Linked DNA regions of Stegostoma tigrinum. The protein of the gene in region 1 interacts with the protein of each later gene in a pairwise test. Links are inferred from orthologs where the notes say so. Each region holds a gene or a part of one and is shown on either strand. Other genes may lie near its edges.

What was found.
Region 2: the proteins of atxn1a (region 1) and anp32a interact in binary tests that used the Homo sapiens proteins (3 or more experiments, as listed by UniProt). The link is inferred for Stegostoma tigrinum from reciprocal best matches to the Homo sapiens genes ATXN1 and ANP32A.
Region 3: the proteins of atxn1a (region 1) and hivep1 interact in binary tests that used the Homo sapiens proteins (3 or more experiments, as listed by UniProt). The link is inferred for Stegostoma tigrinum from reciprocal best matches to the Homo sapiens genes ATXN1 and HIVEP1.
Region 4: the proteins of atxn1a (region 1) and mettl27 interact in binary tests that used the Homo sapiens proteins (3 or more experiments, as listed by UniProt). The link is inferred for Stegostoma tigrinum from reciprocal best matches to the Homo sapiens genes ATXN1 and METTL27.

The regions. Positions count from the first base shown.
Region 1 is NC_081355.1:38,405,132-38,412,356, reverse strand, and holds the start of atxn1a (ataxin-1a), read left to right. Parts: upstream 1-4,090; 5' UTR 4,091-4,527; intron 4,528-7,225. UniProt on the Homo sapiens protein: Chromatin-binding factor that repress Notch signaling in the absence of Notch intracellular domain by acting as a CBF1 corepressor. Binds to the HEY promoter and might assist, along with NCOR2, RBPJ-mediated repression. Binds RNA in vitro.
Region 2 is NC_081386.1:29,267,798-29,275,449, forward strand, and holds the start of anp32a (acidic leucine-rich nuclear phosphoprotein 32 family member A), read left to right. Parts: upstream 1-4,623; 5' UTR 4,624-4,653; coding exon 4,654-4,710; intron 4,711-7,652. UniProt on the Homo sapiens protein: Multifunctional protein that is involved in the regulation of many processes including tumor suppression, apoptosis, cell cycle progression or transcription. Promotes apoptosis by favouring the activation of caspase-9/CASP9 and allowing apoptosome formation.
Region 3 is NC_081355.1:40,247,017-40,254,515, reverse strand, and holds the start of hivep1 (zinc finger protein 40), read right to left. Parts: upstream 3,150-7,499; 5' UTR 2,915-3,149; intron 2,636-2,914; exon of another isoform or gene 2,544-2,635; intron 733-2,543; 5' UTR 652-732; coding exon 612-651; intron 1-611.
Region 4 is NC_081380.1:14,973,056-14,981,122, forward strand, and holds the start of mettl27 (methyltransferase-like protein 27), read left to right. Parts: upstream 1-4,759; 5' UTR 4,760-4,950; intron 4,951-5,633; exon of another isoform or gene 5,634-5,754; intron 5,755-8,067.

The DNA.
Region 1 (7,225 bases):
GCAGAAATGTTTCTGCAGAAAAACAACTTTGACCACAAGTTAATCATGCACCGAACTGGAAATCAACCTACTTGAGATCCTGCTGGAAAGGAGATAGTGGATCTATTAGATGATTCCTGCACCAACATTTTCAAACAAGTGCCAGGACTTGGCTTGGCTGCTGAAGAAAAGGGCACTCTGTGTCAGATCCTGAACACATACCTAATAACTCCATGCCAGTATACACTGTCCCTGTGACAGCTGAGCTGGGGAAGAGACTATCACCCCTATACTTCCAGAATGTGCATTGCATCTGGAAAGTAATGTAAGATTTTTGTTTAAGTTTACCTTGAACAATTCCTTATCACAGGACTCTGCTCCACGGATAGTTCTCAACAGTGCACACCAAGTAAATATTAACTGCTGCTTGATCCATAAACTTGCTGAATGACAAAGAGCTGAATACGACTGATTGTTGCAGACTGCCAAATTCCAAGGTGCAGGATGACATATAGTGGGATGCTGTTAACCTGAATGCAGCCACTTGAAAGGATTATTGGTAAGGCTACAGTACAGAGCTTTGCTACCCTTGAACACAGAAGGGCTAGAGCCAATATAAGACCCCTCAAGATTTATATGTGTATCTGAAATTAAGCGCAGAAAATATACAATTGTTGTAACACAAAATGAGGTTATTGAGCCTTTGCTAGCACTGTGCAAGACCAAATTAGCTAGTTCCACACAAACAGAAACAGAAACAGAAGTGGCTGGAGAAACTCAGCAGGTCTGGCAGCATCTGTGGAGATAAAACAGAATTAACATTTTGAGTCCAGTGACCTTTCTTCAGATCTCCAGCATCTGTGATTCTTGAATTTATTTTAGCTAATCCCATGATCTAACCTTTCTCCATAGTCCTGCAATTTATTCTGTTCAGATGCTAATCAATTCCCTTTTTAAATCCATGATTAAAACTACTTTCACCACTCTCCTCATAGTATATTCCAGAATCTAACCACTCACAACATTGTATATTGTCCTTATATTGCATTTAGTTCTTCTTGTCTTTCATCACAATCAGTATCTTCTGTTTCTCAACCCTTCTGCCAAAGGGAACTTTCTCTTCGTCCAGTCTGCAATAACACCATTAATGCTTTTATCACCTTTATCAAATCCCCTTTCAATCTTCTCTCTTCTAAGAATAATCCCAGTTTGTCTAATCTTACCATGTAACTGAAGTTCCTCATTCACAGAATCACTGTTGCAAATCCTTTCTGCATCCTGTCTAAAGCTTCACATATTATAAATAGATTATATCCAACAACTCAGAGTAGTAAGGGTATGGAACGCTTTGCCTGCAACGGTAGTGGATTTGCCAACTTTAGTACATTTAAATCATCATTGGACAAGCATATGGATGTACATGGAATAGTGTAGGTTAGATGGGCTGCAGATTGGTACGGCAGGTCGGCACAACATCGAGGGCTGAAGGGCCTGTACTGTGCTGTAATGTTCTATGTTCTATATAGTACTTTTAATAGAATAAAATGATACAGAGCACTGCATAGGAGCATTATAAAACCAAATTTGGCATGAAGTCAAGTAAGGAGATACCCACAGGTGACCAAAATTGTGTTTAAAGAGAGATGTTTTAAGCAAATTTCAAAGGACAAAGGAAAGGTTTTAAAGGAGGAAGTTTCTGGCAGTTGAAGACACCAGTACTGCAGCAATTAACAACAAGATGCTTAAGAGACTAGAATTGGATATCTGTAGATGACTTAGAGGGTTGGCGGGCTGGAGATGAATTCAAAAATAGGGAGGATTGAACCATGGGTGAGATTTCAAAACAGGTATGGGAATTTTAAAATCAAGGCATTGCTTAACTGGAAGCCGTTATAGGCAAGCAAAGCAGAAAGATGAAATGAGCAGGACTTGGGGCAAATAAAGGCAGAGGTAGCAGAATTTTGGATGGCATCAAGTTTACAGAACAGAAGAATGGGAAATAAGAAGATATGAAAATGGGAATTGATGGTCATAGTGATGTGCAGACTGCGGGCAGAATCTCCATTCTGGCTGGAAGTTTTGTACCGTCTGGCTCAGATTTAAACAGGCAGAAGATGCAGTCAATGGCAAAGAAAATGAATGTATAACGTGGGTTAAAGAAGATTGGTTCAATTTTCCCAAAGCTTAATTGGAGAAAAATAATGTTATGTAAGTGCAATATTATTTTTGTGCAGTCTGTATGTTCCATGGAGTAAGGGATCCTTGAGTGCATGAATTATATTTATTTAAATTGATCTGTATTCAATGTATACTGAATTATACTGTAATTTTATAATTTATCAATATATAATTCTGGGACAAACAGGCTCTTCTAGATCTAAGAACCAAAGTTTAAGACTTTCCAACATGTGTTTGATTTACTGAAGAGCCAGGGTCCAATCTATCCTGTTGGTATTCCCCATCCCGATCATCACCCCTTAACTATCTTAGGGTGGGATAATGCCAGGTGCATGCAGGCAAAACTAAGGAATGACCTTCACATTACAGAGGTCAAGGTGATTTGCAGGGCACCTTTTACTGATTCCTATTCCCCATTTAAGATTGTGTTTTTAAATATGTTAAATATGCTAGTTAATGCTATGAGAGTTAGCCTAAAGCTAAATACCATATGTTGCCATTGTAGAGTGCTGTACAGTCCCAGTAAACCATGACTAAGCTAATTCATCGCTCTGTATCAGTTCATAAACCAGCTGGCATTTTAGAATTACGTCAGAAATGAACAGTACAGTCAGTAATCTTATGAGTTTCCATATGTTAGTGCTTTAAGTGTGCATTTAATGGGAGCAGTTGATTACAGGGAACTACCACAGTCAATTCTATTTGTGTTTTATGTTGCATGTACATTTATTAAAAATATTGTGCAGCATCCTATGTATAAAACATTTTCTTTAAAAAATGATAAAACCCAGAACTACATAAATAGGTATATATCTCAACTGCCACTTAGTTTTTTCAAATGCATTTATCAGGACTTGACGGCTCTTTGAATCCTTAAGTTTTACAACTCTGAGTACATTCAGTTTCCAAAAATACATGTATTACGTTGAAAATTATTATACTATAATTGGAACACTGAACGTCAGACAATTCCAAGCAATTGCAGCTTAGAGTACTAAATTGACGCATTGTAATTTCTGGGAAACAAAAAGCTTTAATTTCATCCATGTAAATAAGGTGTTGGAACAGGATCCACTGACATTTCCACTAGGAAAACAACAGTAAGACTGTGTCCAGCACTTGGTGTTGTAAAGGACAAACACACTGCAGCAACCCTAGTGTGTGAAGTCTGCACTGCATTGAAACATTACATCATCCCTGACCAATCAGAAGTGAATGAGTGACTGGGAGCGATTCCAGCTGTTTATGTTGCTCTCAGGAAAGAGTGAGCGCGGCCCTTCAGCTGGATGGGATATTCCTGCAGCGTGTTTCTGTTTAAAGGAACCTTTCCAAAACTGCTCCACTAACGCCCTTTTTAAAGGGATATTCCGCAGTTCACTTCAGCAGACAGCGCATTTCGAAATCAAGGATCACATCGATGACGAAGGCAAAGTTTTAACTGCAGACGTTGGAAAGATGAGTGGGAAAGGCAATCTCATACTCGAAATCAAACCTTGAAGGGTTCGGCTTTGAAGTATAAATTGGGTTCAAGTGAAAATGCATGGGTGTCATTGGAGTAGAGCGAGTGGAATCCAAAACGCACATGCATCACACACTTACACCAGTCGTTTGCACTTGGGACAGTTTGAATTTGAGCATTTCCTCCATTCAATAAAATCCATACTTCAGAATGACAAAAGCTTGTTAAAAGCTGAAAAAAGTTCTACTTACATAAATTGGTTCATACATATGTTGATATATTTATCGTCTATTCAGATTCATTTTACCTTTCTATTCGGCCCCATTTCTTCCACTTCAGCACAGTAAGTTCCTGCATCGGACGAGTTAAATTAGTTGGCAGCTTGCAATCTGCACTGTTGCAACAAACACGTTCTATTGTACTGCCCTAGGCAAGTTACTCGACTGGCTTTTAAAGGACTTCTTGGTTGTACTGTACACGTGACTTTTACAAGTTTAACTTTACTTTCAAAATTTATCGCACTCCTGCGCTGACGCGTAGATGTATATACCATGCCCGTACATAACACACTGCAATATGTTGACTGTGTTCTGTTGCAATTAGGACTTCTTTACGTAGTTTTCTTCTAGCCCTCTCAACGCGCTCACATTAATCTCTGGATCTGTTGGCAGCCGGCCAGTATGTGTGTTGTCTTGCATCCTTTGCATATAGTAGAATCCTTAAGCTATCAGCAGACGCAGCCAAGTGCTCCATATTTGGCTTATGTTACACACACGCAGTGAGAGCGAGCGCTGGAGGAGAGAAGCAGAGCAGGAGTGGTGTCTGCAAGACAGACATTACTACAGAGCTACAAGCTCGGCTTCCTTCATCGCGGAGCGCCACGTCTTGGGCATCACCGCCTTTTTGATGTTGTAAGTGTTTTATATAAAGAAATATATATTTTACGGTTCTTCTCCAGCGACATTGGCTATTTGCTTTCATTTCCTTGCTCTGTGTATGTGTAGGTTGTTATGAAATGGCTAGGCTCCCTCTTATAGTACAAACACAGCCTTGCTCAGAAATCTGATTGAGAAAACTGTGTGTGTATTTTGTGTGGTCTGTGTGTGATTATGAAGTGCTGCCCTGAGTATGTGCTGTGATGTTTTCGTCCGGGTTGTGTGTGAGTGGGGAGCGTTAGGATTGGGGTTGGGGGGACGGCAGGTAATGCTTGGGGGATGATGTTTTGCTGGGGAGGAGGCGGATGGGGGTGGGGGGTTGGGTGCTGGTAGGGGTGGAGACTGAGGGGATGCCGCGGCAGGGCTCGGGAAACGGCGGCTCGTCAGGGAGCTGACCGCTTGTTTAATCGGGTCATGTAGGAGACGGGCTCGCCAGAGCGTTGCGTAATCGGGTAGATAGGGCTGGTCTGCAGAAGGGAACATTTTTATCTTGTTTACAACGCTGCCGATACATTGTAGTGCGATATCTATGCGGTCAGACCATCCAAGCAGACAGTGGCACCACGCAAGTCTCTTTATTGTTACTACCTCGGTGACTCATCGGCAAATCTTATTCCTCCATCTGCTTTTTTCTACAACATTATTGCAGGCTGTTGGTTTTGAGTGTGTGTTGAACTAGGTCGTTATCGATGGCCAATAAGCATATAAAAATTGTTGGACTTGATAAATCTCAGCACATTTGTCCAAAGGACCTATTGGCTCCAGAATTTATCTGTAGCCCTTATCCCACAAACACGTCAAGAATTTTGTGTTTAAAATGAGTACAGTTTGTGTCAAATGAAAGAGCAACAAAGGGCGGCGAGATCAGTTTTTGTCCACTAGCATTATGCGTCTGACACTTTGACTATCCACCCTCCCGTCATTCAAATGCAGAAATTCAAGGCAACACCACATTAAACAAACACTTAAAACAAAACGTGGACATTGTTTTCTGGTGAGTCAGTAACTCCTCTTTCTGAGGCAGAGCTGCTGCGTAAAAAGATCATGAATGAGACTGGGAATACTATAATTATTTCCAAGCCATTGCATCAGTGTTGACAATAAGCAGTTAAAAATACATTAACTGTGTGTTAACATGTTCAATGCATTGGATAATGAAAGTCTCAGAAATGATTTCCATGTGTGGAAGTTCTTGGAGAAGCTGTCGTGTGCACTACACGTACAAAGATGTTGGTGTAGGATTTCATTGCGCTACCCCTGGACCTGATCAATCATGTAATTAGATCAGGTTGCCCTGGTAACTGACGTTATTTATCTCTTCAATGAGGTGCGCATGCTTATCTTGTAAAAGAGCTTGTGTCCTTCGGCATATTTCATACTGTAAGTGCCGGGTGGTCACATATTTATCCATTATTTTAAAATGGATTGAATCCGGTATTTATTTCAGCAGTAAATAAACATATTTGTTCGAAGTATTTCAAGATAAAAGGCCTTGTAACGTGTATACATAAAATACTAGCTGATAGCCAATCAAGGCCGTGTGATGGCAAGATGCTGCTGTGAACACCGCTTGAAGGCTTGCTGTTAAAGACCTAACTTGGAGGTGGAGTGTGGGTTATGTGAATCTGGCTCATTGTAACTGTTTAGAAACTGTTGAGGTCAGTCAAAGGGCAGTTGTAACTAAGTTTTAGGTGCCAGATCAGCGACTGCATTTACTGTCCGTTTAAAAAAATGTATCCAGTAGCATGGTGTGACGTAGTGTCTGGAATGTAATACATGCACCACACTGGATGCAAGTTTTTTTTTATACTTTTGTGTTTTCGGATGTAATAGTTATGCATGTTAGAATAAGCCACCTAGGTGTCTAAAAAATTATGTTGTATCTGTGGAACACTTGAGAATGTAGTATTTATTGTGCTGGAGATTTTCAAATATGATCTAATTTCTATTAAGTGGTAGAGATGTACATAGAAGGATATGATAGCCACATTTTCAATTTTGCTTTCTTAACAGAATCAATATAGATACACAATATATGGTGTTGTACAAAGTATCCACATTAAGTCTTCATGGAGATATTTAACATAATCTAGTGTCAATATCATAATTTGTGTTGAGTACGTTTTGGCTGAGGACCATTGGTGATCAGCAGTGAATTTTGAAAAATAGCTGTGTTTTGGCATGCATCAAAATCAGTACATCTTTTAGTATGAGCTGAAAGTAGGTGAGGCTAAAATAGTATCAGAGATAATGGGAACTGCAGATGCTGGAGATTCCAAGATAATAAAATGTGAGGCTGGATGAACACAGCAGGCCAAGCAGCATCTCAGGAGCACAAAAGCCGACGTTTCGGGCCTAGAGGTGAGGCTTGTTGTTGCTGGCACATACTTGAATGATTAATCTTTGTATTCATTTGAGTGATTAAAAAGAATCAATTACCTATACCTACGGGTATCAATCTCAGTATTCTATAATCAGGGAGATCATTCGGATACAAAGGAGACAGCTGAGTTGAGTCACAGTAGGTATTCATGTTTTTTATGTTGCCCTTACATTTCTGGAAATAAAATGCCAATAAGATAGGAGTGTCTTCAGTTGGCTGGATATATATTGGCCAGGTGTCCGTGTAGAGGAACATCGAAAGACATTGGTTGTACTTTAGTACCACGTAGTT
Region 2 (7,652 bases), on another chromosome or scaffold:
CTTTGTGACCAGAACGCTCGGGGGTGGCTGGTGGGAGCTGGGTGTTTTCAAATAGTATCAAAACTAATGTTTAAATCATGTGAGATCGCAGTTCCAGGTAAAGTTTTTTTTAAACCTCCTTTGCTTTGGCCCTGGTTGCCATTTTGTAATGTAGCAATTGTGTGGCAGGCGATGTAACAATTTGCGGTGTCGAACGTTCCAATTCCGAACTCTGCAACTTCGCAACATTCGGCGTTCTATCAGGAGCAACCAGCAATCAAGGTCACCAGGGTCCTCCCTTCCCTCCCTCCACTCTTTTAGGGGAGGTGTGCTGGTTGTATAACTACCTTGTTAAGATTTTTTAAAAAGTCGCTGTTGCGGGGTATGCCTTCTCAATCCAGCCACGTCTGTGCAAATCTTGCGCTCATTTTTAAAAAATTATCTTTTCTCTTTTTCCCCCCCCCCCGCCAAAAAAAGTGATACCAGTGAACATATCTGCAGATCAGGCTGTTCGCGTTATTGTTTTTCTTTTGGGCGGGGGGGGGTGGCGAGAACTGGTGGTTGGTGGTCTGCGAGTTTTTTGACAGTGAATCCTCCCCCACCCCCCCACCTATGGAAAGGGATGAAACTCAGACAAGTGAAGCATAAACACGCGCACAGGCCCTGCGAAATATCTCCTTCCGAGTTTGCGGTGTGTTTTTTTGTTTTAATCCCACGTTACAACAGATCAATTTCCCATATGTTGGGATGCTGCTATGCTTTTTTCAAATCAACAACAGGCCATACTGCCTGCAATTTGACACGTGTTGTATAACTCAGTACTTGTACCCAGGTTTGTTTTTTTTAAATCTTATGCATTTTGTGTTTCTTTTGAATTTGTATTCAGTTAGATTTTGTGGTAGCTAAATTGCTGGCAATTTGTCATGGTTTGTTTAAGTGTACCCACTCAATCGTCTCAAGTGTGAATTACTGTTCAGCTGTAGGCAGTGTGAGGAGTTGGTGACTTTGTTGGGTTTAGTATGCACATATAGAACACAGGACCATAACGCATCATTCAACACCTGAAGGGGAAAAGACAAGTTTGAGATTTTTAGGCATGTGTTCCCTTTATCCTGATATAAACTTGCCAATGGCTGGAATGGAGGAAGTGATTCAGAACAGTCAGCAGTGATCAGATCTACTGCTCAAATTGTGATCTTGTGGAAGCTTTGTTTTACTTGAGATTAGCTTTACCTCTGCCTTGATCGTGTTTTTTTTTAACCCATAGTGTTAATCCTGGGGAAATGTTTTTAAATATTTGAGTGCATTAATATTGGGCACTCTGTTCAATATCGGGGTTTATGTTCTGTCATTTAATTTGTCCAAGATAGAGAGTTTGTATTCTCAGAGATGGGCATTCATAGATTTGGTGCTAAGTTTGAGTTGTTTAGGCCACTGCTTCTGATAGACAAGCATGCTGTATCAGAGCTGCCTCAAATAGGGTTGCCATCCTAAAAACAATGGGGGTTGTGATCTCAGAGACATGCATTTTGGCTTCCATAGATCTCCTCCAGCAGCAGTTGTAACTCAGTCTTCTCTTCTTACTCTATGCCCACAGATATTCGTTGTCTTTCTCTTTCCCTCTTCCCTGACACACATGGGTCTCACTGAGATAACAACACGTTGGGTTCATGCTGGGAGAAAGGTCGGGCCCACTGGAACGCTGTGTTCATGCTCTGGGAGATGAGAGTTTAACCACCTGTGCCATCTTGGCATTATTTTAATGTTAATGACCCAGGAGGATGAGTGCTTTCTGTTGCAATATTGGATTTCATTGAACCCATATGTTGCTATATTCAGTGCATTGCAAACCAATGCCTTGGAAAAATCAATGGACTTAGAACTGTATACCATTTAAATTCTGAAGTTTTGAAGCTTACAGAATAGCAGTGTTTTTGGAGGCAGAATCAAGCCTTTGTACCTCACTGCTGCATCTTGAGCAGCTTTTTTTTAAAACTGTGCTGTTATTACATGTCCTGGTAGATCTTTCATATGTAATGTTTTCTCATTGGTATACCCAGCTCAAGTGCAGCTTGTGTACTGCATTGCTTGATACTGTTGCAGAGACTTGCACATGGATGTTTAGACTACTGTGAAACAGGATGTTGAAGTATTGGGCCTTGATGTAGAACGTTGATCTGCATATTTTGACTTGCCTCCTAGATTTTGATAAGTTGGCTTGTGTGGAAACCATCCCTAAATGGCAATGCACTTAATGATTTTTTTCAATCCAGTGGGCAAATGATGGATTTCTTTCTCGATGAGGTCACAATGTTGTGTTGCAGTCTATTCAGAAGCAGCAAACATGACCTGACTGCAATATGCATGTGAGAATGAAATGAGGTAATGTAACAGAATATTTGGATGGATAAGTAAAGGTATATCCTTCTGGGAGATAGAACACTTTCCATTTTGGGAACCTGGTGTCAACACTGAGCAGCAACTAATGCTGTCTTTACAAAACCTCCAACAGTGTGGTTTTAGCCTGAGCTTCAAAAGTACTGACAGGGCACCTGTACTGTCATTGCCAGTTACTACTACATTGGCCAGTGCAGTCATGACCTTTTTCGTTGTGTTCCCTATTCTGAAGGGAACACTTTTTTTATAATCTGAGTCTAGCCTGATTTTGTGCATTGCTGTTTCATCTTGGAGGGCATGCTTAGTGTAGATTTACATAACTTTTTGTTTTTAAATAAAGCCAGTGTTTCACCTCCAACTGTTAATTTAGAAACTGGGAGAAACTCCAGTTAGACAGCATCCGTGGAGTGAGAAACAGTGTTAGTGTTTCAGGTCAATGATCTTGCATCAGGACACTTCTTCTTGTTCAAGTATTGAGGTACAATTAAGAAAGGAAGGGGCTCTGAAGGTGAGGATGGCAATCACAAGAGGGAGTCTTGGCGGTCATGATTCCAGTGAAGATTGTAACCCTTTAAAGGAACACCAAGGTGTTTTTTTTTGTTTAAGATGCCAGAAGAGGTACAAAATTAAGCATGGACCTGGGCAACTTTTGAGGTTGAATCAGTTGGTGTGCTTGAGGCAGAGATGAGGTGTATGTGTGTCAGTGAACAATGTTGAGCTGCACTAGGAGCATGGTTTTGGATTTCTGAGAGAACCTTGTGATCATGCAAAGAATGACAGAATTCTAGGTTTGAAGCCGGAGGCCATTGTCTGTAATGGAATTGTCCCTGTAAAAACAGGTGGTTTTTAGATTATGTCGCAGAAAGGGGAAAAGGAAAACCAAGAGGGTGAACAGGGTAGAAGAACCAAAAGGAGATCCCATCAGAAAGAAGAGTAGGACACCTGGAAGAGAAGTCCTAAACCAGAAGCAAAATGCTATGGATGCTGGAAATCTGAAAGGAGACTGGAATCCTTGCTGGACTTTATCCTTGTACAGGAGCCTCCTCCCATTCTGCTTTAGCTAACTGTGTAGGTACCAGAGATAATGGGAACTGCAGATGCTGGAGAATCCAAGATAACAGAATCTGGAGCTGGATGTACACAGCAGGCCCAGCAGCATCTCAGGAGCACAAAAGCTGATGTCTCGGGCCTAGAACCTTCTTCAGAGAGGGGAATGGGGAGAGGGAACGGGAATAAATAGGGAGGGGGGAGGCGGACTGAAGATGGAGAGAAAAGATAGGTGGGGAGGTAGGGAGGGGATAGGTCAGTCCAGGGAAGACGGAGAGGTCAAGGAGGTGGGATGAGGTTAGTAGGTAGGAAATGGAGGTGCGGCTTGGGATGGGTGAGACGAAGAACAGGTTAGGGAGGCAGAGACAGGCTGGGCTGATTTTGGGATGCAATGGGGGGAGGGGAGATTTTGAAGCTTGTGAAGTCCACATTGATACCATTGGGCTGCAGGATTCCCAAGCGGAATGAGTTGCTGTTCCTGCAACCTTCGGGTGGCATCCTTGTGGCACTGCAGGAGGCCCATGATGGACATGTCATCTGAAGAATGGGAGGGGGAGTTAAAATGGTTCGCGACTGGGAGGTGCAGTTGTTTATTGCGAACCGTGCGGAGGTGTTCTGCAAAGCGGTCCCCAAGCCTCCGCTTGGTTTCCCCAATGTAGAGGAAGCCACACCAGGTACAATGGATACAGTATACCACATTGGCAGATGTGCGGGTGAACATCTGCTTGATATGGAAAATCATCTTGGGACCTGGAATGGGGGTGAGGGAGGAGGTGTGGGGGCAAGTGTAGCATTTTCTGCGGTTGCAGGAGCAGGTGCCGGGGTTGGAGGGGAGTGTGGAGAGGGAGTCGCGGAGAGAGTGATCTCTCCAGAAGGCAGACAAGGGTGGGGATGGAAAAATGTCTTGGGTGGTGGGGTCAGATTGTAGATGGCGGAAGTGTCGGAGGATGATATGTTGTATCCAGAGGTTGGTGGGGTGGTGTGAGAGAACGAGGCGGATCCTCTTAGGCGGTTGTGGCGGGGGTGGGGTGTGAGGGATGTGTTGCGGGAAATGTGGGAGACGCGGACAAGGGCGTTCTCAACCACTGCCGGTGGGGGTGGGGGGTGGGGGTGGGAGGGAGTGTAGGTACCACCTCTGTTTCTGCCACACCCCACCATTTGCTTATTTCATATCCTTTTAAATGTATTAAGAATGCTGAATGACTTCAGTACATTGTGGCTCTTGTCAAAATGTATCTTTATAATTCTGCTGTGAAGTGCTTTTGGGTGGTTCACTTGGTTTTAAAGGTGCGTACAAATGGTGTTTGTTGTTGTAATGTGAGCTTGTTGACCTTAAGTTGAACCCATCTCCAGCAATGGACTTGGTATTCGACAGATAATTTGTGAATTCAAACTGTCTCAGGTTTGTTTTTGATTTGATGAGTGGCTAGTATGAAGACTTCAGCTGATTTTAGGACATTCTAACGTTGGGGTCATCAATGCGGTTTTGATGCTGAGCCATTCCAAAATTGTGCAGGAATTTCCAAATCCTGTAAAAATCTGGAGTGCCGAGTTTAAATTTGGGATGTGGTTTTCTTGCCTTGCATTCCAAAGGAATTATGCTGTAACTGAGATTTTCAAGTTATCAGCTCTGATCTGTTGTTGGCTTTGAACACTAATAGTTTACACCTAACAGCATACCACATAATTCAAAACATAACACTAAGCTGCAAAGGGTTGGCGATTGAAGAGCTGGGTTTTAAAGACCCTCCTTGAAGCAAGTCAAGGTAGTGGTGGAGGGGTTAGTGAAGGAATGTCAGAGCTCCAGGCCTGAGCAACTGAAATGGTGCTCACTAATGGCGAAGTGACAAAAATTGGAAAATACTCCAAGACTGGATTTAGATTGAGGTTGTGTGTGTGACTTTGTGGGAGCAAAGCTGTGGAGCAGGGTGAGAATTTGAAGATCAAGATGTCGTTTGACTAGAGCCACTGCAGCAATATAGATCCAGATGGGGATGACCAAGAACCAAACACACAGAGCAAATAGAACTGTCTCTGCTAATACAAGGTCAGAACTCATACGATTCCCAGGTTACATTCCAACAAGTTTATTTGAAATCTCAAGCTTTTGGTGCATTGCCCCTTCATCAGCCTGACTTTACTTGATAATAGAGCAGCACTCCTAAAGCTTGTAATTTCAGAAACTTGTTGAACCATAACCTGGTGTTGTGTAATTTCTGACTCTGTCCACCTGCTTCCAATGCTGGCATCTGCACATCTGCTAATGTAGGAAGGGAGAAAGGGTAATGTTGTATTTCACTTTTCTCACTGTCGAGACTATGATAATGAGCAAGTTCACAAAATGTGCCCTGCAATCCCACATTCGTGAGGGATTGGGTTGACTCCCCTCAAGGTCTGAAATAGGGGATGTTACAGTCAAATCTGCAGAAGCATTCTGAGTTTGCTGCAGCCCTTGGGAATCAAGTGTAAACCATTTGAGTGCCACTTAGCTCCCAAAAAAATTGTTTCAATTATGAATGTTCTTTTTGAGCTTTTTGTCAATAGTTGACATTTCTTTTCATCTCCTCCAATCCAGTAGCTGAGCTGCCTTTTCAATTTAGTTTATCCTGAATGGAGAGCTAAGTAACTACACAGTTAGCAACTGTTCAACATGGTTACTCTCTTTCTTCTTCTTCTTCCTCCCCCTCCTCCTCCCCCCCCCCCCCCCCCCCCCGATTTGAGTGATTGGTAGGCACGGTTGTGTTCTGGAAAGGTTACTGAATGAGAGCACTGCAGATATAACTTTCGACCTCACAGGGTTTTGCTTCATATTGTTTAATTTATTCCTCTTCTTCATATCACTTCATGATCTTTCCACTCCCTCCCTATCCTTGTAATTCACTCCAAACCTACAGCCCGCCAGGGAAATCTGCCTCTAATTTAGCCCCTGGTGATTTCCCAGTAGTTCCACCTTTTTTTTTTGGAGGCTGTGCCTTTAGTTCCTAAGTCTTGCAATATCGCTGTCCTTTAGGTTTTAAAAGTCTTTAAAACCTAACTGTCTAACTGATCTCTTATCTCCTTATGTATCTCTGTGTCATGTCCTGTAATGCTACTCTGAGTACCTACTGGAATTTTTTTTTTGCATTAATAACACTGTTATTGACAAGAAAAAATGCAGTGTTACCTTTTTTAATGGGTTGGAACTGAAGCAAAAGACTGTTTGTTTGCAAGATGGGTCAAATGGCCTGTTTTAGATAACTTCGTGTCTGGTCAGGAAGTTAGCTTGCAGGGTGGGTGGGGTGGTCACGTTATCTCTGGATGCCTGCTTCATAAAAATACAGAATTAGCCCAATGCCAAATATTTTGAGTCTTGCGTTCAGTTTTATCTGGACTTACTGATTTTTTTTTTAAAACAACTTGCTGAGCGGTTCATAATGACTATGTTTTTGCTTATTGCTGTGGAGAAGGATTTGTGTGAATTATGCATTCTTCAAATCAGCTGAGTGGCAGATTTTACCCTGTGGGTGCTAATGAGCTGGAAGTAATTGTGGGGATTGCATGATGGCGTTAAGGACCTGCCCATTCAGTTGCAGGCATGATTACAGTCTTCAGGTTTGTTACGGTTTCTACTGGCTACTTTGGGGATTGAAACAGTTTAAATCTGTATCCTAATCGGTCTTTGGAATATTTGCAAGTTGATGTGGATTTGAGGCTGTGGTATGTTTTATATGCATGTCCAGTGTGCGCGTGTGCACACACCCCTTGCTTGCAATGGTCATATACCTCAAGCCACTTTGCTGACAAGGGCTCACAGTTTTGTTTACTTTACCATGTAAGGGCAGACTTGAACCCTAAGTGCACTAAAACAGTTCCTTAAGTTGCAGGTGTAATCCCCACAAAAACATCATCTTCAAAGTTCTGTAAGGTATCAATAAGTCAACTCAACCTACCACCATGGATGTGACAATCTCCCATGGCAATCGGTGTTACCCTCTGGTTTTCAGAGCAAGGAGAGCAAACCACTTGAACAGCTGGTGATTGACTGACTATAGATCAGCATGGGCAGTCGTAGCAGCCAGCAGTTTTATATAAACCTAGTAACCTAGCTAGATATCCTTGTGGCAATCCTCAGGATGATAAATCCTCTCTCAAGCAGGATAGGAAGAGCATTGTCAGACAGGTAGGTCTTAAAAGCCAGGTGGAGTGGAAATGGATTTATGGAGGGAATTATTGAGCATCTGAAGGTGACG
Region 3 (7,499 bases), about 1.8 Mb from region 1:
TATATAATTATAATTATTATTATTGTGTATACGTGTTACCAAGAGTAATCTGTGATCCCCACCAAAATAATTGCTTTAAATTCTCATTTTGCAAAAATACATGTAATACAGCACATTGGAGTTTTACCATTGTGGTCAGTGACAGCGCAAAAAATATAAATCCTAATTTAGCAATTTATTTCTATTCTTTCAATTTCTCAAAGATATTTCAATGAAGTTCCTCATACTACACGCAACCAGCCAACATAAAGCGTCTGGTGTTTTAAGACTGATTGTAATGCCAATGTGTGCACTAGAACATCTGGACTTTTCTTTTAATTATAACCAAAAGAATGGAAATACAACTGAAAGACTGGACAACAGATTGAACTTCTCAGTAATATTAAAGTATGTGGAAAATAAGAAATTAAGCCAATAACTAGATATTTTTGATGTGATAATGGGAACTGCAGATGCTGGAGACTCCAAGATAAGGAAATGTGAGGCTGGATGAACACAGCAGGCCCAGCAGCATCTCTGGAGCACCCGAGATGCTGCTGGGCCTGCTGTGTTCATCCAGCCTCACATTTCATTAACTAGATATTTTTAAACAGGTTCTTGGCAATTCTCACCTCTCAGAGGTTTAGGATTAACTTGTTTCCGACGTGGCATGTTCAACCTCAAAACTGAAGGAAGGCAGAGACAGAGATGGCGGAAAGGCCGCCTGGCGCTGACCAAACACCATCAAAACAACTGAAAGATAAAAATTAATATAACAAATGTCACATATAATCCCCCACATCTCAAAAACAGGAAGAAAGTACAAAAGCAATCTGCTACGAAGAAGGAAATAAGATCTGTCTCACACGATAATTAAGAGAACACAGCTTGCACTAACTCAAAAGTCAAATTTCGCAGTGTGCAGTGGTATGTAATGCAGCAGAAAACTAAAACTTTCCAAATCTGAGTCTTCTCACACACAATCAGTACATAGACTAATACATATTAAAAACATCATCTCCCAGACAATCCACAACCTCATCACCTCAAGTAACCTCCTACCCACAAACTCCAACCTCATAGTTCCCCAACCCCACACTGCCCATTTCTAGCTCCTTCCTAAAAATCCTCAAACCTGACTGCCCCGATTGAAAACAAATCTGATGTTGCCTGGCCTGCTGTGTTAATCCAGCTTTACACCCTGTTATCTCAGACTCCAGTATCAGCAGTTCCTATTAACTTTCTAATATGGAGAGATATGTTTTCCTTGCTTATCCAACTCCCAAATCTATTCACAAATATCCAGTGCAACTAGTCCTTTTATGATACATCTTACAATATAATCCTAAAACTAACTTTATTACAAACTAAAGACAAGTAAAGGAATAACACAATATGTTCACAGTGTTTGCAATACTCCAAGTCTTTTCCCAGATTCACAGTATCAAGTTATCAAACAAAAGCAGTGTTTCCTCAGAGGATACCAGCAATATTGACTATAATTCAAAAGCACCTAATTGCAAATATTCTGCAAAAGCAAATTCTTTTTAGGTAGAAACGAATATGCGGCTTAGTCAAGACTCATGGATTTTCATACAGGCGGTCTGAGGTCTTGGTAGAGCTACTAAATCTGATTACTTGAGCAGTTTCCTCAGCAAATAAACCGCAGAGGGTGCGCAGATTGAAGCCACATTGTAAAAGGTTTGCCATCCAAATTTCAAGTTGGACTCCACGTCAAACAAATACAGGATCAAACGTAACCAGATGAAGTAACCTTTATTGAAGCACATTCTTCAGACAGACAGTTTTAAAGTTGAAACAAATCAACTAAGATGGATTCAGAGGGACAGACGTTCCTCAATTCTGTCCCCAGTCACTTCAACATATGCCCTGAAACCAAGGTTGAATTCTGCTACACCTGCTCCCCCAAACAGGTTAGCTGATGGCTGGCAAAACTCTGAGCCCCCAGAGCATTGTCACTGGTCCTAACGATAAAAGAAACGTTAAAACAGAATGCAAAACACTCCTGGCCGCTACTGTTGCCTCGAAAGCAAAGTGATTCACTGCAGATCTGGGAGGTCTGCTCTTCCAAATCTCAGAGCAATAAATGTCATATCTACGTAAAGAAGAATGGCAAAGTAGCAGAAGACAAAGAGGCAGTAAAAGTCAAATGATGTGATTAAAGGGAATCACACTGAAGGCAGATGGAAGGAACAAACTACAAAGCAAAATGAAATTAGAAGTAAAAACACAGGCAAAAGAGGCAGAGAATCGGAGCAAGGCGTCCGCGGGCAGGTCACTAGTTTTCACAAGAGGGGTACAGCAAGAGGAGAAGGTGCAGATCACAGTTGAGAAAAGTCAGATCTAAGAGAAGGGTCTGATCACACGGGGAGGGGTAGATGTAGGGATTTGATAGGTGTCATGAATCAAGGAGAAATCATGAATGGGGTGGGGGAGGGGTAGCCACAGAGAAGGAGCTAGCACGGAGTGGGAGTAAGAATTAATATCCCATTCAGCAGGCCCCCAACCCCGGGCGAGCGAGCCAGCCACTCCCTCATTCTCACCTCCTCCTTCTCCACCTCTTCGGAGCCGAGGCTGAAAGCGGCTGCCAGGTTGCCCCATGACGTCAGCGGAGCTCCCGCCCCGCCTCTCCCCGCGCGCATCACCGGGAGGGGCGGAGATCACGTGGGGGAACCACGAACAGCGACCGCCCCGCCCACAGGCAAGGAGCAGCTGTTGATTGGCCGGTGTCGGAACCCCCTCAGAGGGGCCCTCTGTAAATCCCTCGGAGTGACGGATATCCCGGAGGTTCCTCGCTGTCAGCTCACGTTGTCCTTCACACACACTGGGCTTTCCCATTGCTTCCAGGTACTTCAGCACCTCCCCCAGCCCACACCACACACATTTACAGCAACAATCTTTAAAAATCACCAACCAGTGGAAAATGCACCGTGTAAGAACTCCTGTCCGCGAAGCAGATTCCCGGCACTGGTCCTGACAAACCCCGTTAGCAAAGGAGGGGGGTGCCCGTTTCCTTTCAGACCCGGGTTGTTTCTGACGTATAAAACCCCAACCTTGTACGTTTTTTTTAAAAAATATAAATTGTAACGAGGAAGGCGGAACGGAATCCTCTCAAGGGCAGCACCCAATAGCCGAGACGAACAAGCTCTGCCTTGCGAACTCGAAGACCCCCCCCCCGCCCCACAACCTCTTTTCCTGCCCCCTCCCCAACAGTCTCTCGATCCGGAAGCAATAGGCGAGAGAGGGCAGAAGCCTTCCGCAGCTTATCGAAAAGAGGAGGGAGGAAAATACTTAAGGAAATTACAGTCTGGAATTATCCTCTAGAAAACGAAACATATGTCACTCGAACGCACGCAGTTTCCAAAACCATGCTGAATTGTATTTTTCCCCCCCAAATGAATTGCTGGGATCAACTATTAAGACATAAATAAATTTCACAGGGATCGTTTTTAAAACGAACTAAAATATTCACTTGACCCTGAAGACTACAAACAAGCGCGAAGTTTTTGCACTGGCCGTGACTATTTATGTGCGTTTAACTGAAGTTTTTAAATGGAGCGACCAGATAATTCAGAAATTTCCAGAATAACACGTCAGTTTTCGACATGAACATGAAAAAAATCTCATCATGTCCCTTAAGTACTGAACCTAAATATTTAAAAGTTCCCAACTATAGCAGAACTTTATATAACTCAAAATTCACATACAGTGATTTTGTCACTGGAAATACAACAGAAAACTTTCCCTCTCTAAACCTCCCAACACCACCATCACTTTAGTTAAATCCCAACACAGACCAGGACACACAAAAAATGCACGGCTCAAGCAGGGTGTTCAACTGGGGAGGCCGAATTACATTAAAAAGGACAGTGGAGTGATAAAGATTGCCACAGAACAAGAATTCCAAAGGAAAATCCATAGCAGTTCGAAAAAAAAATCTTTCATTTTACAGTTACTGATCTGAAAGAGACCGAACATAAAGGAATGGAATTTTCTGCCTTTGCGAACTAATGATTTCCAGCCTGAATGGGTGTAAACTTAGAGCACAAATAGCCCACAATTTGACACTATTCGGCGTATGAACCACAGCTCTTTGTTGGTGCAATAACAATAACTGGGACCAAAATATTGAGGACTATAGTAGTGTTCTCATGTTACTTTTTAAATAGTCATGTTATTTAAAAATAAATGTCATTTTCGTTTAATTTTGTACAGCACTGCTCACCCTGACCTCAATGTTTGATGACTGTTTGCCTTCAAGACACCACAAGGAAGCACTGTAATATTCTATGCATCGATGGGCTGTGAGGTGTATAAATGCAACTTTTTCTGGTTAACACAATGCTAAAACCTGCACAACTTTATGTGCCTTTATTAGAAATGATGGTGCATGACAGCCCAGCAGTTCTATGGGTTAGGTGTTATTTACACCAAGTGGAAGGATGTTGTCCCAGCCACAGCCAATTTTTTTTCATACTACAAAATAAATCTGAATCTAAAGCCAGTCTCAAGTTGTCCAACCGTTCAGCCACATTAGTCATTACTTCCCCCCCCCCACCCCAGTAGCAAGGTAACATGTATAATATTACAAGGATTATAGTTCATCATTATTGGCCTAACCAAACATGGTAACAAGAATGAACATAGAGACAGAATAATAATTATGCTAGAAATTTCAAGCAAAAACAGAAAGTTTAAAATATACATTTGATCAACCACATAAGGTAGAGAAACAGACTAATGTTTGAGTGATAAACTCTGCTTTAAGTCAGTAAACATAAGACAAAGAGGAAGATTGATATTGGAAAAGGAATGTTGTTAAAGGTTATCTTAATGAAATAATAACATGACAATAAAGAGTAGAATGTATAAGTAGCTAAGTTAGTGTGAGGCACTGAAAATACAATGGGTAAAAATGAAAATTGTAAGTGCCTCATTTTGTTTAACTGTCAAAAACTATCAAGAGATTGAGAACAAAGATGGGTCAACATAGAGTCATACAACACAGAAACAGGCCATTGGGTCCAACAAGTCCATGCCAAACAATCTCAAACTAGTCCCAACTGCCTGCTCTTGGCACATATCCCTCCAAATCTTTCCTATTCATGTGCCTATCCAAATGTCTTTTAAACATTGTAACTACACCCACATCCACTATTTCCTGAGGAAATTCATTCCACATGTGAACCACCCAACAAGTAAAAAAAAAGTTGCCCCACATATCTTATTAAAATCTCTCTCCTCATCTTAAGACTATGTTCCTAGACTTGAAGTCCTACATCTTAGGGAACAGACTCTACCATTAACCCTATCTGTACACCCTCATGATTTTATAAAAACTTCTAAAAGGTTACCTCTCAACCTCCTACACTCCAGTGAAAGATGGACCAGCCTATCCTTATAACTTAAACCTTCCACACCTGCAACATGCTGGTAAACATCTTCTAGTTTAGTAATATTCTTCCAATAACAGGGCAACTAGAACTCAACACAATACTCCAGAAGACACCTCAGCAGTGTCCTGTACTATTTTAACTTGACTTCCCAATACCTATACTGAAACAACTGAGCAATGATGTCAATCATGCTAATTGCCTTTCTATGTGACACAGGCTCCAAAGAATTAAGTATCTCAATCCTTGTGTCCCTCTGTTCTACAACAGTACTCAAGACTCTACCATTAAAAGTCCTGCCTCTGTTTGCTGTACCAAAACACAATACCTTGCATTTATCCAAATTAAATTCTATCAGCCATTTCACACTCCATTGACCTATTTAATCAAGACCCCTTTGTAATCTTAGATAACATTCACTGTCTACTATGCCATCAATTTTGGTTTCATCCGCAAACTTATTTAGATTTACCTAGATTACTTACAGTGTGGAAACAAGGCCCTTCAGCCCAACAAGTCCACACCACCCCTTGAAGCATCCCACCCAGAACCATCCCCCTATAACCCACACACCCCTGAACACTATGGGCAATTTAGCATGGCCAATCCACCTAGCCTGCACATCTTTGGACTGTGGGAAGAAACCCACAGTCACCCAAGGCAGGAATCAAACCTGAGTCCCTGGCACTGTGAGGCTGCAGTGCTAACCACTGAACCACCACACCACCCCCATGCCTTCTATAATTTCATCCAAATATTTATATAAATGATAAACAAAAGATGACCAAGAACCAATTTCTGTGAAACACCATTACTACTGTCCTCCAATCTAAAAAGCAATCTATCACCACCACTCTCTGTTTCATGCCATTAAGCCAATTATGCATCCAATTGGCAAGCTCACCCTGAAACCCATGTGACCTAACTTTACTAATTACTATACCATGTGGAACCTTGTCAAAGGCTTTACCTAGAAAACAACACCTTCTACCCTGCCCTCATCAATCTTTTTGGTAACTTCCTCAAAAAATGCAATCAAGTTTATGACATGATTTTCTTCACACAAAACCATACTGACTATCCAAAATCAATTTTTGCCTCTCTAAATGTTTATAAATCCCATCTTTTAGAATCACTTACAATAACTTACCCACAAACGAAGTTAGCTTCACAGGTTTATAGTTCTCTAGTTTCTCCTTAAAATCCTTCTTAAATAAAGGTGCAGCATTAACCACTCTCCAGTGATCAGACACCTCAACAGTAAGTATAGATGGTGCAAATATTTCTGCAAGGGGTCACTGCAGTTTCCTCCTTTACTTCCCAAAGTATTCTGGGATATATTAGATCAGATCCTGGAGATTGTTCAGCTTTGTCTTCTTTAAGATCTCCAGAACTATTTCTGTATTCTGTAATGTGAGCTGTTTTTAAAATATCAATATTTATTTCCCTTAGTTTTTCAGCCTCCATTTCTTTCTTCACAGTAAAAACTGATGCAAAATATTCATTTACTATTTCTCTCATCTACTAGGATTCAATGTGATTAGCACACAATTCCTCCACCTTGTATTTTTCCAAAATTGTTCTGAAGAAACATCAACTTCCAGGGCCACTTCACAACTCCAATGCCTTCTACAATAGTAATTTTAGATTGATTAGATTAGATTCCTTATAGTGTGGCCCTACAAATCCACACCGCCCCTTGGAGCATCACCACCCAGACCCATCCCCCCATAATTCACACACCCCTGAACACTATAGACAATTTAGCATGGCTGATCCACATAGCCTGCACATCTTTGGACTGTGGGAGGAAATCGGAGCACCTGGAGGAAACCCACGCAGACACAGGGAGAACGTGCAAACTCTACACAGACAGTTACCCAAGGCTGGAATTGAACGCGGTTTCCTGGCGCTGTGAGGCTGCAGTGTTAACCACTGAGCCACTGTGCCGCCTGATTGGGTCTGTAGTTACCAGGGTCAAGGTGCAGACAGCAATAATGTACATTTATACATTGCTTTCAACATAATAAAATGATCCAAGGTGCTTCAGAGAAACATAAAGAGACAAAAATTGACATCAACACAAAGAATTTTTTTTATTGCCTT
Region 4 (8,067 bases), on another chromosome or scaffold:
CATTTATCCAGGTTGAACTCCATTACCTTCAGTGAAATGGATTGTTACTGGCAGGTGAAGCTGCTAAAAGTAGTAGTTTTCGAAAAACATTCTTGGCTCCCTCTTGCAGCTCAGTGGTATGTCCCTACTCCTGGGCTGAGAGACCTGCGTTCAAGTCCCACCTGCTTCAGAGATTTAAAACACCTTTGAACAGATTGATTGGAAAAGAAACAGGTCTAACTACATTCTGGGGGGTCTTGTAAATTTCCCTACCTCTGAGCCAAGAGGCCTGCGGTCAATTCCCACATCTAGAGGTGTATAATAGCATCACTAAACAGATTGATGAAATACAATATCTTAACTATGTTCTATAGGGCCTTCCTGCAGCACAGTGGTAGTGTCCCTACACCTGGACTATGAGGCCAAGGTTCAAGTTGCATGTGTGCAACAACATTGCTAAACAGATTGATTAGAAAAAATATTCTAACTACATTCTGAAAGGGTTCTTGTGCTGCTCTGGTAGTGTCTCAACCTCTGAACCAGAAAGCCTGGGTTCAAGTTCCACCTGTTCCAGAGGTGTGCAAAAACATCTCGGAAATAGACTGATTAGAAAAACAATAGGTCTAACAACATTCTTAGGCCCTCTTCTGGTACAGAGGTAGTGTCCCTACCCTTGAACTGAGAAGCCTGGGTTCAAGTCCCACCTGCTCCAGATGTGTACAATAACATGTCTGAACAAGTTGATAGGAAAATATCTCTAATTACATTCTGGATGCTAATTTTGAGATCCAGATGGTTGAGCATGCCATTTGACATTTCCATGGCTATGGAAGAGAATTAGCACAGATCAGCAGTGATCTTTCCAGTGTGGAAACTATCATTGATGATCCAACAGTCTACATATCTGCAAACATGATGGAAGAAGTCAGAAAAACCACAAACAGAATTTGGTAAAACTACTAAAGAGAGCGACCAGATCAAGGAGGAGGGGATGAGAGGGAGGATTAGTCATTGGATGAGGCCGGGGTGGGGAGATTTTGAAGCTTGTAAAGTCCACATTGAGACCATTCGGCTGTAGAGCTCCCAAGGCGGAACATGAGGTGCTGCTCCTCCAGTTTCCGGGTGGCGCCATTATGTCACTGGAGGAGGCCCAGCATGGACATGTCATCCAGGGAGTAGGAGAGGGAGTTGAAGTGGTTCACAACTGGAAGGTGCTACATTTGTTGTGAACCGAGCGCAGGTGCTCCACAAAGCGGTCTCCGAACGTCTGGTTTGTCTTACCAATGTAGAGGAGGCCACATTGGTAGCAGTGGATGCAACAGACCACATTTGCGGATGTGCAGGTGAACAGCTGTCTGATGTGGAATGTTTTTTTGGGTCTTGGGATGGAGGTGGGGGGAGAGGTGTTGTGACAAGCAAAGCACTTCCTGCAGTTGCAGGAAAAGGTGCCAGAGGTGGTGGGGCTAGTGGGGAGTGTAGAGTAAAACAAGAGACTCTTGGAGAGAGCGGTCCCTACAGAAGGCAGATAGGGGTGGGGAGGGAAATATTTCCTTCATTGTGGGGTCAGATTGCAGGTAGCAGAAGTGGCGGAGAGTGATGCATTGAGTCCGGAAGTTAGTGGGGTGTTACTTGAGGACAACGAGGATTCTATCTTTCTTTTTGTTGCAGGGAGAGGATGTGAGGGCAGAGGTACTGGAAACATAATAGATGTGGTCAAGAGCATTTTTGGCCACTGAAGGGGGAAGCTGCGGTCCTTGAAATACAAGGGCATCTGGGATGTTCAGGAGTGGAATGCCTCACCTTAGAAGCAAAAGCTGCGGAGGTAGAGGGATTGGGAGTATGGGATCGCACTCTTGCAGGAAGGTGGGTGAGAGGAGGTGCAGTCTAGTGAATATTTCATGTCAGTTTTTACTGTGGAGAAAGAAATAGAGTCTAGAGAATGCACAAAAGTAAACTTTGATGTTTTAAAAACATTTCACATTACAGAAGAGGAATTTTGGGAGATCTTAGAGAATATAAAGGTGGATAAATCACTGGGAATGTTTCCCAGAATATTGGAGGAAGTAAGGGAGAAAATTACAAGACACCTTGCAGAAATATTTGCATCATCTATAACTACAGGTAAGGTGCCTGATGACTGGAGGGTGGCTGATGTTGTTTGTTAACCTTTGTTTAAGAGTGGTTGTAGGGAGAAACCAATGAACTATAGAACTGTTGAGTCTGACTTCGGTTGTGGGTAAATTGTTGGAGGCAATAATAAAAGATAGGATTTATGGATATTTAGAGAGGCAAAAATCAATTAGGGATAGTCAGCATAGTTTTGTGTGAGGAAAATTGTAAGTTTTTGAGGAAGCTACCAAGAAGGTTGATGATGGCAAAGCAGTAAACATTGTTTATTTGGATTTTAGTAAAGCCCTTGACAAAGTTCTGCATAGGAGACTAATTAGTAAAGCTAGCGCACGTGGCATTCAGGGTGAGTTTGCCAGTTGGATACATAATTGGCTTATTGGCAGGAGACAGTAATGGTGAAGGGTTGCTTTTCACATGGAGGCCTGAGGGTTGCAGTGGTCCACAGTGATTGGTTCTGGGTCCTCTTTTGCTTGTCATTTATATAAATAATTTGGATGAGACTATTGAAGACATGGTTAGTAAGTTTTCAGATGACACCAAATTTGGTGGCATTGTAGATAGTCAAGAAGGTTTTCTAAGCATACAAAGGGATCTTGGTGAAATGGGTCAATTGGGTTGTAAAATGGCAGATGAAGTTCAATCTGGATAAATGTGAGGTATTGTATTTTGGTATAACAAACAAGGGTAGGTTTATACAATTAATGGCAATAATTAGTGGTAGGTTTATATAATTAATGGTAGTGTTGTAGAACAGAGGGATCTAGGGGTGCAGGCATGTACTTCTTTAAAGTTTGCTTCACGTATAGACAGGGTGGTTAAAAAAGTGTTTGGGATGCTTGCCTTTATTGCTCAGTCCTTTAGAATAGGAATTCAGATGTTATGTTGTGGTTGTAAAAGATGCTGCTGAGGCTACTTCTGGAGTACTGTGTCCAGTTCTGGTCATCCAGTTATAGGAAAGTCATCATCAAGCTGGAGAGGGTTCAGGAGAGATTTACCAGGAAGTTGCTGGGTGTGGAAGGTGTCAGTTAAAAGGAAAGGCTGGATAGGCTGGAACTTTTTTCACTGGAGAATAGGAGTTTGGCAAGTGACCTGATAGAAGTCTCTAAAATAATGAGAGGTATTGATAAAGTTGATGGTAGTTGTCTTTTCCCTAAGATGGGGAATTTCAAGGCTAGAAAGTACATTTTTAAGGTGAGAGGAGAGAGATTTAAAATAAAAACATAAGCAGCAAATAGGTTACATAGAGGGTGGCTGACATGTGGAATGAAGTTCCTGAGGAAGTGGTGGATGCGGGTATAATTACAACATTTAAAAAGGCATTTGGATGGATAGAAGAATAGGAAAAGTTTGGAGGGATATGGGCCAGCAGAAGGCAGGTGGGACTAGTTTAGTTTGATATGATGATCAGCATTGACTGTTTAGACTGAAGGGTCTGTTTCTGTGCTGTACGACTCTATAATGGCAAAAAGGCTTCACCTGGATCCTGACAAGGTGAGAAGTCTGATATAATAGGAGCTGCAGATGCAGGATTTCGGCCCAGACCTGAAATGTCAACTTTCCTGCTCCTAAGATGCTGCTTGGCCTGCTGTGTTCCTGCAGCTCTATACCTTGTTATCAAGATGAGAACTCTACTGGAGGAGCAATGACCATCTGGCATGAAAGTGGTGCAACAATTTGTGAGCTAAGTTTCTGCTTTATTTGTCATCAAAGTGAGTACCTCCACATAGTTTTTTGTTAAGGATGGCATTGGAACACAGAACAAGAAGCTCTTCATCTTACAATCAATTAGGACTGACAATGCCAGTGCTAAAGTACAAGTGTCAACAATGAACACAGTTACAGTGTGATGTAGTAGAAGACCAGATTTGGAGCAAGCCTTATGCAGCAAGGACAAGCAGTTGCATTTATATCCAAAACATTAATGTAAGCTGAATTCACTCCACATGTATCTAGAGAGATTTCTCTTCATAAAACTGATAAAATATTACCAAAGCTGAGCACTGGATAGCCAGTTAGAATGCAAACATTCAATTTTTTCAAGCAAGGTTAACCCAAATGGCAACTTAGGACTCTGTGAGCACCTGTAATCTCAAGCATACCTGGTGAATTTGAGTGACTAGCTATATCACTGCAACTTGTGGACATATACGTATAACTGATGAAGTTTCTCCTTTACTGTAGACAGCCGATGAGAAAGATAAATGTCACCTCACTGCACAAAATATAGAATGACTATCTGCCCTAGCAGTCCACTGTTCTCCAGCAAGGCAATGGATAAGCACCAACAGTTACCAGGTCAACTCAGTCATCAGAATGACACTCCCTAAAGATGGAACATCACTCCAGGAATGGCCAGATTCCACACAAACAGCCAAAAACAATGTGCACACATAACATCATAAGATCTGCATGAATGCGTGTGCAATGCCTGTGCAAATGGTCATGAGAGGGATAGACGAAAATTAACAAACGTTTTCGATAATTAGTTTTTCCCAATATGTAGGATACCTTACAACTGCAAATGATTGCATTTTCTAACGAAAATAGGGATGTTTGAAGAAATGCACTTCTGCCCTGGTACGCTTGCGGCTTATCATAGACATGTGACCTATACTGTAGGTTGCTTTCACTTTCGAAGTAGAGCCATTAAAGTATATTGCATGAAACACCGTTTCCGTTTTTGGGCACAACTTAATGAGAAACTTTTTACAAGTACAACCATGTCACGTGGGTTTTCCAAAGTGCGCTCAGATTACCACTTCCTTCAAATAAAGCTGGTAGGCGACCCCTCGTAAATGCATCCCATCATCCTTGAGTAATTCCTTCGCTTGGTTTATCCAGGTAATGATCAAGTTTACTTGGAAACTCTCTGTATCAATCAAAGATTTTGGTATAGGCAATGGCTCCAATTTTCGAATGTTTTCTTTTAATGTACCTGTCTCCTAGATTTGTCTGAATCTTGATTCCAAAAGTCTCTCTCCTTTTGTTACTCAGTCTAGACTACCCAGTGGTACTTCCTTCAAGGAAAAAAAGCGATTTCAAAACGGTGCTGAGAGCCTGGGGCGTTTTTCCCTCTCTCCCAAAATTGGTATTTTACGAACGTATTCCAGACAGTTGTGTGTTACGAGCGGTTGCACGATAAATTATATCATTAGGCGCAATTTTAAAATCTCTATAGATCTGACAGCGATGTAATTTGTAGATGCCGCCCTCCGCACGTTACTTTGAAGCTGAAGTTGCTCGGGAAGTAAACTGGTATTTTCCACATTATGACAGATTTGGTGACGGGGCGGGTCTTTCACAGTGACAGAACATCGAAGCACACAGACCGCTCGAGTAGGACTTGGCCAGAACTGGGAGTACCGCCTCGGGCGACAGTTAGACTCGCGCCTCGTCGTCAGAATTCGAAAAGGCAGCGCGAGAGCCAACGATCTCGCAAGGAAGAGGCGCGATAATTGGGGGCGGGGGGGCGGAGAGGGAGAGAAGAGAAGAAAGAGTATGGCCATGGGGGGGGGGTGAGAAGAGAAGAAGAAAGAGGACGAATACGGAGCGGGAGTTTGGGGTTGGGCCAGAGGAGGCCCGTGACAGAGCACGGGTTGGCTAGACGCTTAATACAGATGTGGGAGAGAGCGTGGGGTCTCACTGGTATGTAAGCTAAAGAGGACTGTTATAAAGCGACGGAGGTGTGGGCTATTCAAAACCCATTACAGAGTAGCGGGATATTGTATATAGCCCAATACGTATAAAAATGGAATCTCGTCTTGAGTATATAACCAATTCAAAAGACCATTCACGCTTCAGAACTTGTTTGTTTTAAGATTAACTAAAATAATCAACCTTGAAAAAGAGCAGTACTTTCAAAATAGGATTGCTGAATCAAAATTGCTCGACCTATTCTGCTCAATTTTTTAAAATATATTTGAAATGCTCAAAGGCTGACTAAAAATGCTAAGATTGGCAGATGTTTCTAATCATCCAGTGTTATTCCACACCTCCAAAGCAGATGGAACTTGAACCCAGGCCTCCTAGCTCAGAAGAACTCTACCACTGTGACTCAAGTCAAATCTTTTACTAGTACATTTTTCACTTCCCACAGAACTGTCTCTTAGGAAATCATCAGGATGCATTATGAAAATGCCTGAAAGTTTTTTTACTTTGGTACCAAGTTGTGTCTGTTTTTAGTTGAACAATTTCAATGAAACATATCCCACTTAAAGCATCATTCAGGCCATGAAAGCATTTTACTTTAAATTCAAAAGCTTTCCTCATGCATTTTTACCCTTTGGACAATTTCAGAAACACCTCTGAAATTTATCATACTGTAAAAATGCAGCTTATGTCATTTTTTGTTATTGGTATGGTCATTGGTAAGGCCACCATTTGATGCTTGTCCTCAAGTGAACCTTGAACGGAGTGGATTGTTAAAACTATTTCAGAGGGTAGTTAAGAGACAACATATTATGTGGAGCTAAAGTGTTATGTAGATCAGCCCTGGGAAAGCATGCTAAATTTCTCAAATTTCATTCATAAGCCTGATGGGTTTTTACTAGGTAGTCGATCGTTATCGCCATTAAAGAGCCAAATGGCCTGTTCCCACACTTTGTCTGATACCAGCTTTATGTGTTAGATTTATTACTGAATATTTGATTTGATGAATTGTTACTTGCAGTAAAATACAATATAAAGTATTGTTTTGCATGCTATCCAGACAAATCAAACCTTACATAAGTACATCAAGGTAATAGAACAGAATGCAGAATACAGTGTTACAGCGACAGAGAAAGTGCGGGGAAAGATCAACTCTAATATATTAGAGGTCTGTCCATAAGTAAGATAACAGGGAAGAAGCTGTTCTTGAAGCTGTTGGTATGTGATTTCAAACTTTTGTATCTTCTGCCCAATGGAAGAGGGTGAATTTTAACTGTTGCCCTCACAAGTTAACTTGAACTTGTGGATTACTAGTCCAATTATATCATCACAATGTCACCGATGTTGTACATTTCCACGAAGATATGGTAAAATGACTTAATACACTTTCAGGATTAGTGTACTCCATCTGGGAATGTCCACCTATAATGTCTGTAAGTCATCAAAGTCTCAAGTAATTAGCCTTGTTCTTTTTGTTCACTCATGGGACATGGGCGTCACTTTCTGGCCTGTGTTTATTGCCCAACCTTAGGTACCCTTGAGAAGATGGTGGTGAGCTGCCTTCTTGAAGCACTTTAGCCCAAGTGCTGTAGATTGACCCATAATGCCATTTGAAGAGGGGAGTACTAAACCAGGAGCTTACTGAAGTCGTCACAAGAAGACTTGAGCCCCAGGCGACGCCAGAGAATGTTGCATTGTCACATCTGTTGATAGAGCGGCTGATGTAAAGCTGTTCACCGAGGAAACTCAGGATGCAAATGGCTACTAGATTCGAGTTGAGGGAAAAACGTTCACTGGTGGGAAAACAAAATGGCAGCCATTTGGAGTGGTCGTACCATCTGATAAAGAGACAGATTGTTGGATGCTGTGCACTGAATATATTTGATGCATTTTTAAAGGTGAATAAGGTGGCTGAAGACATTTTACTGTGTTTCTTGAGTTCTGTTAGGAGCAAGATCTTTGCAATTCTAAACATTCCAGTGCAACCAGAGAAACCTGCAGAGAAGTCACACCAAGAACTATGCAAAGTGTTGGGGAGCTATTTTCCACCAGTCAATGATTACAGAATGTTTTTGTTTTTATAAAAAGGTACAACACAAAGGAGAGTCCATAGCCCAATTTGTGGCTGCCCTAAACAGTTTGGTAGAACATTGCAAATTCAGAGATTCCTCCAAGGTGCCTTGTGGGACCATTTGATTTGTGGCTTCCAACAAGAAGCCATTCAACAGAAGCGACTAACAAGGAGAGACCCGGATTTCATGACAGCTTTTGAAATTGCTACCTTAATGGAGGTGGCCACGGGTAAAGCAA